Linked DNA regions of Saccharomyces cerevisiae S288C. The gene in region 3 interacts genetically with the main gene of each other region. Each region holds a gene or a part of one and is shown on either strand. Other genes may lie near its edges. The genes, in order: ECM1, NUP42, ARX1 and POM34.

Evidence for each region.
Region 1: mutations in ARX1 (region 3) and ECM1 together harm fitness more than expected from each alone (negative genetic interaction), as found in Saccharomyces cerevisiae (5 studies listed by BioGRID, with this or other methods).
Region 2: mutations in ARX1 (region 3) and NUP42 impair growth when combined (synthetic growth defect), as found in Saccharomyces cerevisiae (5 studies listed by BioGRID, with this or other methods).
Region 4: mutations in ARX1 (region 3) and POM34 together harm fitness more than expected from each alone (negative genetic interaction), as found in Saccharomyces cerevisiae (6 studies listed by BioGRID, with this or other methods).

Annotation. Positions count from the first base shown.
Region 1 is NC_001133.9:34,717-37,647, reverse strand, and holds ECM1 (Ecm1p), read right to left. Parts: upstream 1,140-2,931; coding exon 501-1,139; downstream 1-500. Other genes in the region: CNE1 (calnexin), read right to left, coding at 1-184; BDH1 ((R,R)-butanediol dehydrogenase), read right to left, coding at 1,345-2,493. UniProt on the Saccharomyces cerevisiae protein: Pre-ribosomal factor involved in 60S ribosomal protein subunit export from the nucleus.
Region 2 is NC_001136.10:841,630-847,772, forward strand, and holds NUP42 (FG-nucleoporin NUP42), read right to left. Parts: upstream 3,233-6,143; coding exon 1,940-3,232; downstream 1-1,939. Other genes in the region: RVB1 (RuvB family ATP-dependent DNA helicase pontin), read right to left, coding at 1-366; NAD-dependent histone deacetylase HST4, read left to right, coding at 708-1,820; MSS116 (ATP-dependent RNA helicase), read right to left, coding at 4,323-6,143. UniProt on the Saccharomyces cerevisiae protein: Functions as a component of the nuclear pore complex (NPC).
Region 3 is NC_001136.10:655,135-661,506, forward strand, and holds ARX1 (putative hydrolase), read right to left. Parts: upstream 2,334-6,372; coding exon 552-2,333; downstream 1-551. Other genes in the region: TVP15 (Tvp15p), read left to right, coding at 1-310; YDR102C (uncharacterized protein), read right to left, coding at 2,514-2,846; STE5 (Ste5p), read left to right, coding at 3,216-5,969; SPO71 (Spo71p), read right to left, coding at 6,039-6,372. UniProt on the Saccharomyces cerevisiae protein: Probable metalloprotease involved in proper assembly of pre-ribosomal particles during the biogenesis of the 60S ribosomal subunit. Accompanies the pre-60S particles to the cytoplasm.
Region 4 is NC_001144.5:176,005-181,434, forward strand, and holds POM34 (Pom34p), read right to left. Parts: upstream 3,603-5,430; coding exon 2,703-3,602; downstream 1-2,702. Other genes in the region: BRE2 (Bre2p), read left to right, coding at 1-740; PML1 (Pml1p), read right to left, coding at 798-1,412; MEU1 (S-methyl-5-thioadenosine phosphorylase), read left to right, coding at 1,604-2,617; PSR2 (putative phosphatase), read left to right, coding at 4,284-5,430. UniProt on the Saccharomyces cerevisiae protein: Functions as a component of the nuclear pore complex (NPC).

The DNA.
Region 1 (2,931 bases), on a different chromosome or scaffold from region 3:
TAGAGCCTTCATTGTTGACGGCTTCACTTGTGATCCACTCTTGGTTTAAATGCTTTGTATTAGTGTAAGCCTGAAAATGCTCCCAGAAAGAATCTTCCGCTAATGTAACGTTGGATAGCAATGAAGTGCCTTTCACCAACGCTAGATTCAAAAACAGCCACCATAAATACGCAGAAAATTTCATAGTACTACTTTGTGTGGCCGTTATCTATATTAGAAATGCGTTGCCGTTCACTTTTTTACACAATCCTTAAACGACATGCATCACACGGTTTTCAGCTAACCCATAATAATTTTCTTTTTCTTAATCAACTTGATATTGAAAAAGTTGTAACTATTAATGAAGTTTTTCAATAATAGTATACATCCAGATATATAAAAAATAAAATAAAACTAAGCTAAAACCATGTTATCTAATGTACAAAGAATGAAAGAAGATAGAAAAAAGAAGAATGCGTACAAGAATCGTGTATTCCTAGGACCTTTCATATGAAAATTTTCTATTCTTCAACATCGTCTGGCAGGACACCGAATCTATTTGTAGGAGTCTTCTGCACTGTGTTATCCTCTGCTAAAGAGTCAAAAACTTCTGGGATCTCCTCATCTTCCTTTTCAGCATTACCTTCACTAGCACTTTTTGCCTGCACAGACAACCCTCCGTTCAAAAAAGCCAGCTCTTTTTTTATAGTCTCATTGGTGCTATCCCAGCCAGCCTTTCTTGTATTTTGAATGTACTTGGCACGAGAAATGGACTTGGCAATTTTACCGTCCAGACGATTGGTAAAATTCAAGGCCTTCACTAAACGATCCCTGTCCATGGATGAAATAGAGTTGGCCAGTTTGTCTTCCAGAGCCTTTTTATTTAACTTCTTGCCCCTCTTACTTTTATTGGCTTTCTTAGATATCTTTGCTTCCAGCAATGCCTCATTCTTGGCTGCTGTTCTAATCAAAATATTAGTCAAATCGGTTTTTTCAGCTCTAGGTAGTTCACTTAAATCCTTTACCTCTGGTTCAAGAGCATCCGATTGTCTAGCAGCTCTTGAATTCTTTGATATTTTCTTGGCCATGCTTTGTTTTAGACGATATCTTACCAGTATAGTCAAGGAAAAAACTACCTTTTGTCGTCTTTGTTCCCACATTCAATACTTCTAAAGGGTCCTTAACCAAAAAAATTTTCAGCTCATCGCCAAGTTGAATAAAGGAAAAAAAAAGAAGAAAAAAAAAAATAATATAGTCGCAGAAACTTACTTCTGTCTGTTTCATAACAACAAATATTATAAAAGAAAATACATAATCTTAGATACTACAAATGAGCCGCGAGGGGCCCCAAATATTATTTTGTCATTACTTCATTTCACCGTGATTGTTAGGCGTCAATAGAATCTTAACGTTGGATTCCTTGTGATCCATCAACTCTTGGAATCCCTTTTCCCAACCGTCCTCAATCCTTTGCTTACCAGTGATTAGTTGCTTACAATCTTCCATGGCGATGTCTCCGTTGTGGATGGCACGAACAACTTCTTCGAAGTCTTCGACAACATAGCCGATCGAACCAGTCATAACTTTCTCTTGGAGAGTCACATCCATTGGTTGGAATGGGACAGGTTTTGGACCCCAAACTGCAATGTTGGTGGCTGTCCCCTTGAATGTTAATGCCTTCAAAGAGGTTTCGAAAGTAACTTGAATACCAGAACAATCATAACTGTAATCAAACCCATCATGGCTCTTGGTCAAACCACGTAGTATCTCTATAGATTTATGACCGTGCTTGGAGGGATTGAACACCTCAACGCCCAGTTTCTTGGCCATTTCTATTCTTCTCTCTGCAATTTCAGACACTACAATTTTACTAGCCCCCATTCCCTTAAGTACCAAAATGGTACACAACCCAATGGGACCTGCACCAAGAACCAAGGCTGAACTGCCTTTTTTGAAACCAGAAATCTTAACAGCATGCCAGGTGACAGAAAGAGGCTCAACTAAAGCAGCCACATCTAGAGGAATTTCCTTTGGAACCGGGATAATGTGATGTTGAGAGACTACGACTTGTTCAGCAAAGCCACCACTGATCACACCTAGTCCTACAAAACCGGCGTGGGTACATAGATTTTCACTGCCCCTCTGACAAGCATCACATGGTTTGGAATTGTAAAATTTGGAGTGTGGCCAGCAATGCAGGTCCGCACAACTGCTGGCAGCATCAACGACCACGTGGTCGCCAACCTTCACCTTTGTCACTTTAGGACCAACCTTGGAAACAATTCCTGACATCTCATGGCCCATTGCCAGAGGTAAAGCAGCGTTGGATAATTTATGGCACTCTCCATCTTTAGGCATGAAGATTGGACCATCCAAGTACTCGTGAAGATCCGAGCCACAAATCCCACACCAAGAGACGTCGATAATAACCTCATCGTCGGTTTGGATTTCTGGCCTAGGGATATCATTAGTGAAGTGAATATCACCCTTCTTGAAATATGCCAAAGCTCTCATAATTAATTAAAACTTTTTTTAGTTCCTTTTTTTTTTTTTTTCTGACTTGGTCAATCGTACTAAGACTTTTTAAGAAAGAAGAAGGGCAACATCTGCCCAAAGGGCTTGAATTGGCCATTGTCACACGAAGTATCTGCCCCACTTTTATATGTCGATTTTTTTTTCTACGTTTCCACCTATTATCATATCAAGAGAAACAGGCTAGGACCCCGTAAGGAGGAAAGAATAGGCAAGGATAGGAAAACACCGGTTTCTTCTCTCCGTCGAAACGAAAAGGGGTCAAAGTAGCGTGAGCAAATCCGGCTTGATGTTAAACTGCTGCCCTCGATTGGCTCGATAAATGTACATATGATGTATATAAAACACTGTCAAGAGAATGCTATGAGAGAAAGAAAAGTTAGTAAAACAAGAAGACCGCGGGATTAACACGAGAACGTG
Region 2 (6,143 bases), 190 kb from region 3:
CATTAGGGTTTCTGTTTTTTTGACCTCCACGGAATATAATTCGCTACCAACAAGAGGACAGAATGGAACTTTTGGGCCTAACTCTTGTGAAATGGCGAGAGCCAATGCTGTCTTACCTGTAGAAGGACCACCAGCTAATAGGATAGCTCTACCTGACATTTTTTTAGCCTTGATTAAATCTACAATTACACCGCACGCTTCACGAGCTTCTATTTGTCCAACAAACCCTCCTTCAACCCTCTTGGCCACACCACTTTCATCCAGACCTAAACCTTTAATATGTGTATGTGCCGCAGTTCTCGTAACTGCACCAGAATTACTGCTGTTTACGCCAGGATTTTCTTTGACTTCACTGATAGCGACCATATTTACTCAATTATTTTAACGTTCAAAATATTCAGGCCCAGAACTTAACAGCCTTCAATACGTACTCTTAAATGAATCCATCTCTTCTTCATCACCACGATGTATCTTTTGTTTTGCCATATTCTTCCTTGAACAAAATTGAAAAATTTTAAAAAACCTCTCCATTACCCGCAGAGCACGTGAGCAAAAAATCAATTACGTTTCCTAAAAGGGGAAAACAGCAACTTTAGTGACATGTTAGAATATTTAGCAAGCAAGGTTGTGGAAAAGCTTAGGAATTACATACTTTAGAGCAACAACTGTATTTTAAAACTGTAAATAATACTAAGCAGAACCACAAAATGAAGCAAAAATTTGTACTACCGATCACCCCACCAAGTACGGCGGAAAAGAAGCCTCAAACAGAAAACCGTTGCAATGAGAATTTGAAGCCTAGAAGATTGCTACCGCAATTGAAAAAAAGTGTCCGTAACAGGAAACCTAGACTGTCATATAGGCCTGAGTTAAACTCTGTGTTTGATCTGGATGCGTACGTGGATTCGACACACTTGTCCAAATCCCAACGCCATCATATGGACCGCGACGCCGGTTTTATTAGCTATGCTCTGAATTATAGCAAAAGAATGGTTGTAGTCAGCGGGGCAGGTATATCTGTTGCCGCTGGTATACCGGATTTTAGATCCAGTGAAGGGATTTTCTCTACTGTGAACGGCGGCTCTGGGAAAGATTTGTTTGACTACAATCGTGTGTATGGCGACGAATCAATGAGTTTGAAATTTAATCAGTTAATGGTGTCATTGTTCAGATTATCCAAGAATTGCCAACCTACAAAATTTCATGAAATGCTCAATGAGTTTGCTAGGGATGGCAGGCTATTGAGACTGTACACGCAGAATATTGACGGTTTAGATACACAATTACCTCATTTATCAACTAATGTGCCTCTGGCGAAGCCAATACCCAGTACAGTACAATTACACGGAAGCATAAAACACATGGAATGCAATAAATGTCTGAATATCAAACCTTTTGACCCTGAACTGTTCAAATGCGACGACAAATTTGATTCTCGGACTGAAATCATACCGTCATGTCCACAATGTGAAGAATATGAAACAGTTAGAAAAATGGCAGGCTTAAGATCTACTGGTGTGGGCAAGTTGCGTCCAAGAGTAATTTTATACAATGAGGTCCACCCTGAAGGTGATTTTATCGGTGAAATTGCCAATAATGACTTAAAGAAAAGAATTGATTGTTTGATTATTGTTGGAACGAGTTTGAAGATTCCCGGAGTGAAAAATATTTGCAGGCAGTTTGCGGCCAAAGTCCATGCAAACAGGGGTATTGTGTTATATTTAAACACCAGTATGCCGCCTAAGAATGTGCTAGACTCTTTGAAATTTGTAGACCTAGTTGTACTGGGAGATTGTCAGCATGTTACCTCATTATTATAGAAAGTATTTGTCCTACCAAAAAAGGTTGGAGATAAAATTAATGCATTTTTCATTAGATATATATATATATTCATATATATTGTTTAAGTTACCATTTTGTATGTTTTTCTTTGACCTTACTATGCAACCAATGCAGGTGGTGGAGGTATATCAGGGACAAGGCCTAGTTCAAACTTGTTTGCTCTGAATATTTTCAGTGTTTCCTCTGCGAGATCGGCCAATTCTAGAATACCGTCCTTTTCAGAAGATAACCCTTGAACAAATCTAATTTTTCCGGTGGCCGTATTAGCGTTGACATTAGTAGCATTCATCTGTTGTTGTCCAAATCCAAAAGAGGTTGCGTTACCATTGCTCTTCAAACTTATGTTCGGATCTGTGTTTGGCATTGTTTGCCCAAATGAAGGGTTCGATTGCGAGACTTTGTTGGCATCGTTTTGTGGTGTAATTCCGAATGAAAACCCTTTATTACCAAAAGAAGATTGAAAGTTGCCATTGGTATTTTTATTGAGGTTAGAAGCAGAACCAAAGGTGCCCCCAGAACCTCCGCTAAAAGGAGATTGATTATTCGTCGTTCCGAATGCGCTACTGCCCACGTTATTGTTGTTGTTAGCTTTGGAGGTTGTAGTACCAAACGGCGAAGAACCAGCGCCTGCTCCGCTCTGTAGATTACTAAAAGGTGATTTGTTATTACTATTAGTTCCAAATGTGCCAAATGGGGATACTCCTGTCCCACTGCTTGTACTTGTATTTTGAATAGTACCAAATGGCGACTGGGTATTAGTAGCTGCGCCGAAAGTCGGTTTGCCAAACGCTGACGATGTAGATGATGCATTTTGTGATGCGTTTTGTTGCAGTGAACCAAAAGGAGAAGTTGTGGTCAAGGGCGTGTTTGACGCAGCACCAAATGCGGAGTTATTACTATTACTAACCGAACTAGAAGGGATAGCAGTTTTGTTCGCTCCAAAAGCTGGTTGACCAAATGCAGAGCCCATTGAGCCAGGACTTTTACCAAAAGGATTACTTGTCGCCGCCATAGCACCAAAACCTGTTGATCCAAATGACGGTGCTCCAAATGCTGACGTAGTAGAAGGCGGATTAACATTGATGGGGGCGCTAGAACCAAATGCTGGTGCTCCAAATGCTGACGGTTTAGCCGCATTACTGGTGTTCCCAAAAGCGCTAATTGACGTATTGCCAGTATTGCCTGTATTGGTACCAAACTGGGGCATTCCAAATGCTGAAGTGGTGGTTCCTCCTGTCATTGTGTTTGCTGTTCCAAAACTAGGTCTTCCAAATGCACTTCCTCCCATGTTATTGGTACTAGCAGCATTATTTGTGAAAGGGTTGATACCACTTGTATTAGAAAGATTAGGCTTAGCACCCGACGTGAATGGGTTACCGAAAGCTGACATTACAGTTGAGTCGTTGCTCGGGTCGAAATTTAATGATAGCTTGATGAGCTTTTGCGTTAAAGTACAACAGTTCAGTGTTATAGTACTTTAAACATTGTGCGCTCATCTATTGATTCACTATTTTTTTTCAAATACCTTGCACCCTCAGTCGGCGTGTTTCTTGATATGCAGAATTAATATATTTCTAGATGTCAGTATATTAAGGTTAGCCCTTTGAAACGTATTATGATGTCGTTACCTTCAGCGTCGTGGTTTAGGTTTCATGTCTTGTCCTCTCGCGAATACTTTTATTTCGAAGCTAATTTACTATATAAAGAAGGTTGAAATCGCATGATAAGCTAAACAGCGTAAATAGAATTGCCGGAGCAAAATTCGTATAAGACATAATTTCCCTCCAGGCCGTAGCCAGATTAATGCTCAGTACACTGTAAAGAATTTTTTGTTTATTTTTAAGATAAGACAAGATGTCATTGATATTATTGCTAGATCACTAACAAATGGTATTTATTGATTTTTCTTTCGCAGAGCGGCACTTTAACTAGGATTTAATCATAAAAAAAAAAGTGATTGACACTGTTATTCAGTTCTGGACTATCGTATAGACTATTTTCATTGTTAATAGGCTCAGCTGTTCATAAAATATGTGAAAATTTTTCAACGATTACCAAGCCCACGATTGTCTCGTTGGCAATATTCAGAATGAAGTTTTCGTAATATGGCTATGTCCGTGATCAATCGCCTAAGACACCCTGACTTTTCAAGTAAATTCTCAAAAGCTTTCTTCCATCCGTTTAAATAAGAATTACAATGTTAGAATTACTTTTCCTTTGAGAGGAGGAAGAGCGAAAGTAAGAATGGAGGTACCGGTCGTAAATAAGCATTGACGAATAAATATACCAGTAGGATCTTCGTATAGTTATCATTTTAAGAGAATAGGAGAAGAAAAAAAATTTTTGTTTAATATTTATATACTAGGTATTTACACGTGAAAGTATTGAATCAAGATGGGGTCTAAAATACAGGCGTCTTAATAGAGGAATTGTTATTTAAAATACAACCCACATCTCTTGGTCCTCCTTTTTTATCTTTTCTAATATATGTTGCTGTTTCTACTGGAGTAATTATTTTTATCATTACTACGGGAGAATGAGCGTCTATTGTTGTTGCTGCGTCTAAACGGTTCGTCATCGTAATCTCTATTTTGGCTCCTATTATTATAGTTTTTGTTGCCTCTGAAAGAAATTTCTGAATCATCATCATAATCGTAGGACTTGTTATTTCCATCTCTACTACTATAGTCTCTAATTTCAAACATTGCCTTACCAATTGGACTACGGCTCAAACCTAATTTATCTAAAAACCTTCTGGATACTGGAATCTTTAATTGAGGATCATTTAACAGTACACCATAAGTGGAAGCAATTTCAGGAAGTATGCGCCTTTCAGAAAACCTGTATTCCTTGATACAGGATCTGTAGGATGAGATTAAACTTATTACAATATCTGATATGTCTTCCGGTTCTTCGGTCACTGCCTCTAGGACCTCAGATTTTATTTCTTCACTGGGCTCATATTTTTCTTGTTTGGCAATGACTATATTTTTTGCATCTTCCAACTCTCTAACAAATGGCAATTCATCTTTACAAATGAATAGCACAGAAGATCCTTCTTTCCCACTTCTGGCTGTTCTACCAATTCTATGAATATAATTAGCCAACTCAGATGGAACACCAATTTGCAAAACTTCGTGGACGTTTGGGAAATCCATACCACGGGCTCCCACATCCGTACAAACCAAAATACCGGATTCATCTTTTTTGAATCTTTTAACTAAACTTGTTCTTTTATTTTGAGTAATTTTACCATGAAATTCCAAAATTGGTAAATCTTTCTTAAATTCATTCTTTAAAATACTGCACAAAAAGGATGTGAATTTAACAGTTGGTGCAAAAATAATGGCTTTGTAATTAGAATCTCTTTCCTTTATTTGTTTCTTTATATGCTCCACAGCAGCAAATATACTATTGGCAAACTTTTCTGAAATGACGACAGACTGATCAATTCTTTCATGTGCTTCAGGTTCATTCTTATCTACTGTGTCTAAAAAGAGACATTCTTTTTTATTCATGATATTGTTTGCCAACTTTTGTACTTTGTCGTCCAGAGTAGCAGAGAACAACAAAGTCTTGATATTATCGGCTGATTTGGAGTTCTTTTCATTTAAAATACCAGAAATAGTTTCTAAATCATCCCTGAATCCAATTTCTAGCAATCTGTCAGCTTCATCTAGCACTTTGTAATCTACGAACCTAAAAAATTTGTTGGAGTATTTTTCCAAAACATCAATCAATCTCCCTGGAGTGGCAATTACAATGTTTGGTCTCAACTTATTCATTTTATTCATAGCTGCCCTGAAGTCAGTACCACCAACTAAAGAGACACAAGCGTACTTTTTCAAGCCATAATTCATATCGTGGATTTTTTTCACCTCTGCTTCGATTTGCAAGGCCAAATCTCTTGTTGGTGCGACAATAACAGCTTTTACCATATATTGAGAATCGAACTTCGTATTTATCAAATGCTGGAAAATTGGAATCAAGAAGGCAAATGTCTTACCTGTACCGGTTTTAGCTCTTGCGATAACATCATGGTCTTCACTGGATAATATTGGTTTGATAGTCTTTTGCTGTACAGGAGTTAAACCGGGAAATTCCATCCTGGTAATGGCTTTATGTATTTCTTTATCAAGGACTCCTTCCTCCAGTAAAGAGTCCAGCGTTACTTCTTTACTATTATCTTCTTTTGGGACGTGAATTAGTTTGGAAAAAGTGGTCTTATCAAAGTGCACTTCATCATCGTCTTCTCTAGACCTTGTCCTTGGGCGAGAATTGAAACGGGAGTTTCTATACCT
Region 3 (6,372 bases):
AGTTTACGGACTGGCACTCTCCGTACCTATCGTCTATCTGGAGTTCAAGGTTCCGTCAAATCTTTACAGGTATGCTTCCTTTTACTTTAGTTTTCTTGGAAGGGGTTTATCTTATATTTTACTAAGTCTGATAATCAGCTTCGGCGGTATCTACAACATATTGGCGGGAATGTTTACTTTTATTTTAGGGGTTGCCTTTATTGTTTTTCATTTTTCCCAGTTTGTGGAAGAACCTGCTAACTTCAGAGCACCCGGCTCATCTTTGTCAATTGGTGATGATGACATCGACGATGACGATGACATGATTTAATATTAGAAGCCCATGTCTCTCAATCCGCCGGTGTTACAAAAGCATGGCGAAACAGGCGTGAGATATTTAATCTTCCATCTCATCTGTATAGCAAATAAAATGTAATTATAATGCAAGATTCTGAGCAAATGAACCAAGCGGTTTTAGTACAGCTAGGTTGACTTTTTTTATAATATTCTATTTTACATTTTATGATATACTTATATTATTTATATACTAGCTTTAGAAATGATGAAGTTTCCTACATTTTCATGGTTTCTTCAACTCCGCCATTTGATGTCTCAACACTCTTCTGCTTCATTGGCTGCGTTTCCTTTAATAATAGACCGAACCTCTTATCCTTGGCCAAAGTAGCTAATTGAAAGATCCCTTGAACAATTGAATCTTGTGGATTTAATTCGTGCTGAGAGTGAATCCAGCTCGGTTGACAGGTCTTAGAACCACCAGTTAATCTCAATAATTCGGGTCTGTCCGTTGTACTTACACTAGAGTCACATAATACGATGGTATTACATTCACGAGCAACTGGTAAAGAAATCGATTCCTTGGTTGAATTCATTAAGGATTTAAGCTTGATGGCTGAAACACCCAATTTTGGTAAAGGTAACTCATGCCCAGGTAATGTTAATGTAGAGGTTGCATCATAACTTAAATTACCGTTTGGATTGGTAGCCTTTAAAATATGGTCCCATGGAACCCATCTAGCAATTTGTATTGGACTTTCCACACATAAGTAGTTGTTGGAAATCTCACTCATCCCAAGTCTAAATGATTTCAAATCTTTCTTTAAGCTTTGGAGTTCTTCTTCATTTTCGTGAACGAAAGGAAAGTTAGAAGATAAATGAGATAACTTGAATGGATAAACGCCTTGTTTATCGATTTTAGTTAATAATTGTCTAGAAGTTTTTAATTTAAGAATATGGGTTTGAGCAAAATCTCTAACATATGCACCGGGTCTTGCAATCAATTCTCCAGCCTTATGAGATTTACCTGTGTAAGAGTCAACGGTTTCTAAAGTTACTAAACCCTTTTTGGTACAATGCTCCAAAGATGCCATTTTCAAATCAATTAAATACACTTCACCTGATTGAACAACGAAATCATCACTTGGAATAGCAGAAACATTAGTGAATGGAGTCGATTGTCCACGATCTACCACTGTTAAATCCTTGGCATCAGTATTAGATAGCAAATCTGCTTCTTGATGGGACTCTGTCCAAACAACACCCTTATATTCCCTTTCGGCAACAATACCTTCGTTTTGGCCTGCCAGGAATCTTCTAATCCTTCTTACACGAGAACCAGGAACAACGCCACAGTTATAAGATCTGGCAATAGTATCCACTATAGTTCTAATCAATTGGCCTGTGATACCACTTGAAGTTCCTCCCAGTGAGGCAGGAAGCTTTTCTGGAGTCAGAGCACAGGCTAATAAAGCAACAACTGTTTCCATAGCAATGTGAGCAGCAGCTACAGCATCCGCTTTACCACCTAGTAGTGGCCCAGTGGGTTGAAGAATAGGTTTGGTTTCATCAACGGGGTAAATAACCATAGTATGAGAAACTTCAGAGGTGTAACCATCAATATGAACACCTAGTGTAATCTTGACTAAATCCCCCGGTCTCAAAGTCCCAGTGACAGATGATGCAAAAGTGGAGTCTTTCCCCTTATTCCAGTTTAACAAATTTTGAGTATCATCTATTTCGGGGCACCATCCACCAGAAATTTGGTCGATATCAATAGTGGTTGGAATGGCAATACCTCTTTCATTAACTTTGTTTTTATAATATTGTTCCAACCGGGTCAAAATAAAAGAATCGGTAAGCAAACATAGCTCTGGCACGGTTAATTGGCGCTGTGTGGTCTTAGAGTGATATGAATCATTGATCAAAGAAGTAACATATTTCAAAGCAGTTTGTGCGATTTGTCCAGCAGTTCTGTATTTGTTCAAGACCGATTCCTGTAGAATATTTTTGTCCTTTAGCAAAATCTGAGTATCCTCGTGGGAGATAGCTAGAGCCATGATAGTTTTAGCAATATTAGTCGGGTCGGGTTTTTTCTTAAAAGTATTTTGAATAACACGATGCTTTAGCTCATCTCATCTCTTCTGCTGAAATTTTTCTTTACTTCGGTAAAATTTTTTCAGAAAGCAAAAAAAGCTTCACAGAGGCATGACCCTCTCCGGGTAAAAAAAAGCTTAGGGTTACCGGCCTGTCATTTTTAGGGCATTATCAATTTTTTGCCATCTAGTTGCAACTATAATAATACAGTATGAATTGCACGAAAGAGCAGTCAATGTAAATTCACGAAGTGACTGACAGAATACTGACATCAGCTGATTTCTCATAGAGCTGTTTCTCTGATAACACGTTGTTTGAACATCGACAAGATGAAAATCTAGAAGTATCAAGTTTCCTTTAAAGGGATATATAACAGATTCTAAAACTGACAGAAATATTTCGAGTGAAGAAGAAGCGTTAAATATTGGATCTTTCCGCAGTTCTACTCTGATACATTTTTGAAGTAGGAGAGTCATTTAGAAGGCGTATTGCTCAATAGTAGAAAGCAGGCCTGTGCACATGAATTAATTAAAAAATATAAAGGTAGTGATTAGACGACACATGTCCATAGGTAACCTGTCATAATTTTGAACAATTTCCCTTCTTTTCTTTTTTTTTTTTGGGTGCGGCGATATGTAGCTTGTTAATTTACACATCATGTACTTTTCTGCATCAAAATATGAAAGGCGATAGTAGCTAAAGAAAATACCGAGAATTTCCTCGAAAAGTTGACGACAAAAGAAAGGCATAAAAAAGTAATTTGAAAATATTTTAAAACTGTTTTAACCCATCTAGCATCCGCGCTAAAAAAGGAAGATACAGGATACAGCGGAAACAACTTTTAAATGATGGAAACTCCTACAGACAATATAGTTTCCCCTTTTCACAATTTTGGTAGCTCGACACAATATAGTGGTACCTTGTCGAGAACTCCCAACCAAATAATAGAGCTAGAGAAGCCCAGTACTCTATCCCCATTGTCAAGAGGAAAAAAATGGACGGAAAAGTTAGCCAGGTTCCAAAGAAGTAGTGCTAAAAAGAAAAGATTCTCACCTTCTCCTATTTCCTCCTCTACATTTTCGTTCTCACCCAAATCTAGGGTCACTTCTTCAAACTCTTCTGGCAATGAAGACGGTAACCTAATGAATACACCTTCTACGGTTTCCACTGATTATTTGCCACAACACCCTCACAGAACATCGTCTTTGCCAAGACCTAATTCCAATCTCTTTCACGCAAGTAATAGTAACCTATCCCGAGCAAATGAGCCCCCAAGGGCCGAAAATTTATCAGATAATATACCACCCAAGGTCGCTCCATTTGGCTATCCAATACAAAGAACCTCTATTAAAAAATCCTTTTTGAATGCTTCTTGTACGTTATGTGACGAGCCTATTTCTAACAGAAGAAAGGGAGAGAAAATTATAGAGCTTGCATGTGGCCACTTAAGTCACCAAGAATGTCTTATTATCTCTTTTGGCACCACTTCAAAGGCAGACGTTCGTGCGCTATTTCCTTTTTGTACCAAATGTAAAAAAGATACTAACAAAGCCGTTCAATGCATTCCAGAAAATGATGAACTAAAGGATATTCTAATTTCTGATTTTTTGATTCATAAGATTCCTGATTCTGAGTTATCAATCACACCTCAGTCCCGCTTTCCTCCTTATTCACCACTCTTGCCTCCTTTTGGGTTATCCTATACACCTGTTGAAAGACAAACGATATATTCTCAAGCTCCAAGTCTAAACCCAAATCTCATATTGGCTGCACCCCCCAAGGAAAGAAACCAAATTCCACAAAAAAAATCAAACTATACATTTTTACATTCACCCCTGGGGCACAGAAGAATTCCGTCCGGAGCAAACTCTATCTTAGCAGACACCTCTGTAGCGTTGTCAGCTAATGATTCTATTTCTGCTGTTTCCAATTCGGTAAGAGCAAAGGATGACGAAACCAAAACAACGTTGCCGCTGTTAAGGTCATATTTTATTCAAATTCTTTTGAACAATTTCCAGGAAGAATTGCAGGATTGGAGAATAGACGGGGACTATGGATTACTAAGGTTGGTAGACAAATTGATGATTTCCAAAGATGGTCAGAGATATATACAATGCTGGTGTTTCTTATTTGAAGACGCATTTGTAATAGCAGAAGTGGATAACGATGTTGATGTTTTGGAAATTAGACTAAAGAATTTAGAAGTATTTACACCTATTGCCAACTTGAGAATGACTACACTCGAAGCTTCAGTACTCAAATGCACCTTAAATAAACAACATTGCGCCGATTTATCAGATCTTTACATTGTTCAGAATATAAATTCTGACGAAAGCACAACTGTACAGAAATGGATATCAGGTATATTGAATCAGGATTTTGTATTCAATGAGGACAATATCACTTCGACCCTGCCTATTCTTCCCATTATAAAGAACTTTTCAAAAGATGTTGGTAATGGTAGGCACGAGACGAGTACCTTTCTAGGTTTAATCAATCCTAACAAAGTTGTTGAAGTTGGAAATGTGCACGATAATGATACTGTAATCATAAGGAGGGGATTCACCTTAAATTCAGGAGAATGTTCTAGGCAGAGTACTGTCGACAGTATACAATCTGTTCTAACCACGATAAGCTCAATTCTTTCCCTTAAACGAGAAAAACCTGATAATTTGGCAATAATCTTACAGATCGATTTTACGAAATTGAAGGAAGAAGACAGTTTAATTGTTGTTTATAACAGTCTAAAAGCTTTAACCATTAAATTTGCGCGTTTGCAGTTTTGTTTCGTTGATCGAAATAATTATGTTCTGGACTATGGATCGGTATTACACAAGATAGATTCACTAGATTCCATCTCAAATCTCAAATCAAAGAGTTCCTCGACACAATTTTCACCTATTTGGTTGAAAAATACTCTATATCCCGAAAATATTCATGAACATTTGGGTATTGTTGCTGTATCAAATAGTAATATGGAAGCAAAAAAATCCATACTATTTCAAGATTACAGATGCTTTACAAGTTTTGGAAGAAGAAGGCCCAATGAATTGAAGATTAAGGTGGGCTATTTGAACGTTGACTACAGTGATAAAATTGATGAACTAGTCGAGGCCAGCTCCTGGACTTTTGTTTTAGAAACTCTTTGCTACAGTTTCGGTCTAAGTTTTGATGAACATGATGACGATGACGAAGAGGATAATGATGATTCGACCGATAATGAACTTGATAATAGTTCAGGATCACTGTCGGATGCTGAATCTACAACTACTATTCATATTGATTCTCCATTTGATAATGAAAATGCTACCGCAAATATGGTGAATGACAGAAACCTTCTCACTGAGGGTGAACATAGCAATATAGAAAACTTAGAAACTGTCGCTTCTTCAGTACAGCCAGCTCTGATTCCTAATATTAGATTTTCACTTCATTCTGAGGAGGAAGGTACTAATGAAAATGAAAATGAAAATGATATGCCAGTATTATTACTTAGTGATATGGATAAAGGAATCGATGGCATAACCAGACGCAGTTCATTCTCGAGTCTTATAGAGAGCGGTAATAACAACTGTCCCCTCCATATGGATTATATATAGAGTATACACTAAATTTTATGCAATAATAAAAAGAAAGCATCCCGCCAAACGTTTCGTAACTACATATTGTTACATAGTTTGATTCCGTGAATTTGAAGTGGACGCAGTTCTTCTTAGTCTTTCAAGTTCATAGTAAATAGACATTACCCAAAGATCTCTTTCCTGTCTTGATCTTGCCATGAAAACCATTGACTTGCCGCTCACACCTAACTTTTTAGTGAAATGGATCTTATCTGTGTTACTTGGAACATTAGAGTTATTCAAGTCAGCTTCCGGAGCAGAAGGTGGGTCAATATTATTATCTTGTCTACCATAATCTTGCGTATATTGCTTTTCATTCCCTTTCTTCTGTAAGCGATTGCTAGAAAGGGCACGCCTTGTTCCAAACCAAAGCGTAAAGCAT
Region 4 (5,430 bases), on a different chromosome or scaffold from region 3:
TTGCACTGAACTCCCATATGGATACGATGAATGAACCATGGAGAGAAGATGCTGAGAATGGGCCTTCAAGGAAAAAATTAAAACAAGAGACAACGAACAAAGAATTTCAAAGGGCGCTATTAGAAGATATTGAATATAACGACGTCGTCCGCGATCAAATCGCCATCAGGTATAAGAACCAGTTGTTCTTTGAGGCAACGGACTATGTAAAGACAACGAAACCGGAATATTATTCTTCTGATAAGAGGGAAAGGCAAGACTATTACCAGTTAGAGGATTCATATCTTGCTATCTTTCAAAATGGTAAGTACCTAGGCAAAGCATTTGAAAATTTAAAGCCGTTGTTACCACCGTTCAGTGAGTTACAATACAATGAAAAGTTCTATCTTGGATATTGGCAACATGGTGAAGCTCGTGATGAGTCCAATGATAAAAACACAACCAGTGCCAAAAAGAAAAAGCAGCAACAAAAGAAAAAGAAGGGATTGATACTCAGAAACAAATACGTAAATAATAACAAACTGGGTTACTATCCAACAATCAGCTGTTTTAACGGTGGAACAGCGAGGATAATTAGTGAAGAAGATAAATTGGAGTACCTCGATCAAATCCGATCAGCTTACTGTGTTGACGGGAATTCAAAAGTTAACACACTGGATACATTGTACAAAGAACAGATAGCTGAAGACATAGTATGGGATATAATCGATGAGTTGGAGCAAATTGCCCTACAGCAATAAAGCAGCATTCAAAGAAGAATAATTAAAACACACTGAAAGTGTGTTTCTTATATATGGTTATACATTCATGAAGATGAGTTCGTAATCGTTATCTTCTTCAAATTCTGAAAGTGTAAGGACGTCACCACTTCGTAGCTCTATATATCTCGCTCCAGGAATTACAACGTTGTTCAAACATGTCCCATTGGACGAATCCAAATCCATTACATAACATTTCAAAATGCCACGAACGTTCCTGAACTGGATGACGCAGTGCTGCTTTGAGGATGTTTCTTCGGGTATACCAATGTCTGCGACAACGATCTCCGTTCTATCGTCGAGATCTGTATCCAGACTGTGGCCCAGTTCACGACCGACTAAATAACAGCTCCTGCCGTTCAAATCGTATCTTTTCCACGGTCCTTTATCCTTGTCATTCTTTCTGTATATCACTAGTTCATACATAGTCCTATCTCGCGCCTCCAGTCCTAGCATATCCATGTAGTTATCTGGAGAAATAGCGTCCTGCGGCTCCACATGTTTTAAAGCTATACCTTCTTTGTTATTCGACTCCAGCTCTAACAGACCGGAAGGGCTGAAGTCTGGCATAATATCGATGTACTGCGATTTGAATTTCTTGTCATCATGGCCATAATTTCTGGTGTTATAAGGTCTTTTGCGTCTGTGAAACATGTCTATACGCAAATGGAGTCGGAAATGAAGTACACCATGCTTGCTGTGGCTTTTACGTTATACCAAGGCTTCTATTGTAGGACGCCTTTATTGTCAATTATGTGAAAAGAAAGCAAAAAAAAGAAAAAGAAAAATGAAAAAAGATGAACGTGTGAATGAAAAAAAACTATTTCGAGATGAGATGAGATTAAATGAACAGGATTAAGAATACATTTTCTGTTGCTAAGAGATTAAAACTAAGCAAAGTTATGACGAACTCAGAATTACCGAGCATATTCGAAGGAACTGTTGATTTAGGGATTATTGGTGGTACAGGTTTATATAACCTTGACTGTCTGGAGCCCATCGCTTTGCTTCCACCCATGGTAACACCATGGGGTACCACATCGTCTCCTGTCACAATCTCTCAGTTCGTAGGAACTAACAGCCACTTTCACGTTGCGTTCATAGCCAGACACGGTATTAACCACGAATACCCACCCACTAAAGTCCCATTTAGAGCAAACATGGCGGCCTTAAAGAACTTAAATTGTAAAGCCGTTCTTTCTTTTAGTGCCGTGGGGTCTTTACAACCCCATATAAAGCCTAGAGATTTTGTGTTACCACAGCAAATAATCGACAGAACTAAAGGCATAAGACATTCTTCATATTTCAACGATGAAGGCTTGGTAGGTCACGTTGGTTTCGGACAGCCGTTCTCTCAAAAATTCGCAGAGTATATCTATCAATTCAAGAACGAGATAACAAATCCTGAATCCGAAGAACCGTGCCATTTGCATTACGACAAGGATATGACCGTTGTGTGTATGGAAGGCCCACAATTCTCCACGCGCGCTGAATCCAAGATGTACAGAATGTTTGGTGGCCATGTTATTAACATGAGTGTTATTCCAGAAGCCAAATTGGCGCGTGAGTGTGAGCTGCCTTACCAGATGATTTGTATGTCTACCGATTACGACGCATGGAGAGATGAGGCAGAACCTGTTACCGTAGAAACCGTTATTGGTAATTTGACGAATAATGGGCGCAATGCAAATATTTTAGCTTCTAAGATCATCGTCTCAATGGCCAAGGAAATCCCAGAGTTCATGCATACTGGCGATGGGCTGCGCGGTTCCATCAAGAAATCTATCTCTACCAAACCAGAGGCTATGTCCAAGGAAACCTTAGAAAGACTAAGATACTTATTTCCAAACTATTGGTAATGGTTGCCGCTAATCATATGTAAAATATAAATAGGAGAGAAAACATATATAGCTATGGAAAGTATTAAATGTTTTTTTGCTGTTTTTATATTTTCCCCCTTGGGGACTGTGAGTTCATCATATATGCATATTTGCTACTTGGAATGTAGCCCTTCCTAGTTACAGGGGTATGCGGCGAGTTATTGTCATTGTTAGCGCTCACTAATGTGCTACTGATACCGCTATGCCTCTGCAGTGTGCCAAATACATTCTTTGTGTGTAAGGATTGAGATTGTAGTTTCGTCTGTTCCTCCGCCATTTCCCTTTGTCTTGCTTTCAAAGGCGTCTCTAAGCCTTTGAAGAGATATGCTGGATGATTTTTGAGATTTGTTTGAGGAATATGTGTTTTGTTCTGTGCCATTTGGCTGATCTTAGAAGTGGATACGTAGTGGGGGTGTTGTGGCTGCAACCCAGTATCGACAGATGATTGCATGTCTACCCCCAGGAGCTTCTTTTGCCTGTCAGTGAGATTCAAATCACTTACTTTGACGGTGGATAAGAGCTTCCAAAGAGAAAACAGTATATTGAGCGAGATTAATAGGTGGAACAAGTAGTCAAGAAGTTCTGCATTCAACCAACTGAACGTGGTGTGATATATGATGTTAGCCTTCTTTAACGTGTGAAATGTCAACATGTACAGATGGATTCTGGATAGCCGGTTGCAAAACTGTCTCCCAACATGAGTGTTGTTCCAAAAGAACTTGATGAACTTCACCAGCAGGTTCCAGAACGCAAACGCAATTACGTTTGTCATAATTCTCTGCGTCTCCATTTCCTTGTTTACCGTTCGCCGTGATAGCTCCTTGAGCACAGGACTTTCAAAGTTGCCCAATTTAAACATTGGTGTGTCATTTTGTGATTGTGATGAGGGTTTGCTGTCTGTGTCCGGCAATGGTCCCGGCACGTCATTATCGTCCAGGCCCAATTGGCCCGCCTGAATCTTCATAGTTCCCTCTATTATTTTTTTGCCTCTGCGGATATATTAAAAGTCTGTATATTGTCAAGTTCTTATAATATAAATCTTTTTGTTCATCATAACCATCTTATTAATTGTTATTATTTCTATCATTATTACTATTAGCACAAATTTCATTTTTTTTTTTTTTCATTTTTCTTTAGACTTTAGCCCTAATTAGACCTGAGAAATATTATTATAACCTGAGAAAGGTTTATAAAAAGAACATTATAACCTACAAAAAAGATACTTAAACCCTGAAGTTAATAGGTTTGGACCCTCTTTTTTTTTTTTTGCTTTTTTTTAGAAAACCTCAGTATTCACAGTCTAAGGAACAGATAAAGAGAAGCTTTATGAAAGCAGTCCACAGTGCCACGAACTTTGACATATATAATTGACTTGTGGGGGCTACCGACTGGCTTATATTTCTAAAATTTAGAGATTTGATTATCTTTTTCGCAGCGCGTAAAAGAAACCCACGAAGCATCGCTTAATTTACACATATTCTTCGTTCTCCCCTTTTGGAGAGGATTTAAGCTAAGATATATCTTTCTTCGAGCGCAGTGCTGCTTTTGAGTTCTTTCGTTTTAATTTTCCACTTATTTGGCAATAAAAACTGAGTGAAGAGTGCTTCTCTGTCTGTTTTAGGGAGCTTTTTCAGATCATCATCAGATGGGATTTATAGCAAATATACTGTGCTGTTCTTCAGATACTTCCAAAACACATCGTCAACGCCAACCACCAGAAACTAATCACAACCGCAACCGCAACCGTAAGCACAGTTCAAACAAAGCTCAAACTCAGGGTCGTAAGCAGAAGGCTACTCCAAACGGCGACAAGATGCAATATTCCACACCGGAGATCCTTTTGTCTAGTTCCGATTCAGGCAGCAATGCGGGTTCCAAGACAATGCAGGAGAATGGGAATAGCGGCAATGGAAAACTAGCACCTTTATCAAGAGATCACTCCAACAACTCGTACGATGAGGAGAAAGAATATGAAGATTATAATGAAGGAGACGTAGAAATGACGGAGGTTAACAATGCCGGAGAAGAAGAAGAAGAAGATGACGAAGCAAAAGAAAAGCAAGACCATGTCGTTCATGAATATAACGTTGACGCAGATAGAAATTCCAGTATTAATGACGAGGCGCCACCACAACAGGGTCTGTATCAGGTGGGTCAAGAAGATATGAATCCACAATATGTCGCCAGCAGTCCTGATAATGATTTAAACTTGATACCTACAACGGAGGAGGACTTCTCTGACCTGACGCATTTGCAACCAGACCAGTACCATGCCCCCGGATACGACACTCTGCTACCACCCAAGTTGCAAGAATTTCAACAGAAAAAATGTCTGATATTGGATCTAGACGAAACTTTGGTACATTCTTCCTTTAAATATATGCATTCAGCTGATTTCGTTTTGCCCGTCGAAATCGATGATCAAGTTCACAATGTCTATGTTATTAAGAGGCCAGGCGTCGATGAGTTCTTGAACAGGGTGAGTCAACTATACGAAGTTGTTGTGTTCACGGCAAGTGTTTCGAGGTATGCAAACCCCCTTTTAGATACGTTGGACCCTAATGGAACCATCCATCATCGATTATTCAGAGAAGCTTGTTATAACTACGAAGGTAACTACATCAAGAACTTATCGCAGATCGGAAGACCATTGTCCGAAACAATCATCTTAGATAATTCGCCGGCCTCTTACATCTTTCATCCGCAACATGCTGTTCCGATATCTTCTTGGTTCTCTGATACTCATGATAATGAGTTACTAGATATTATCCCACTTTTGGAGGACCTTTCAT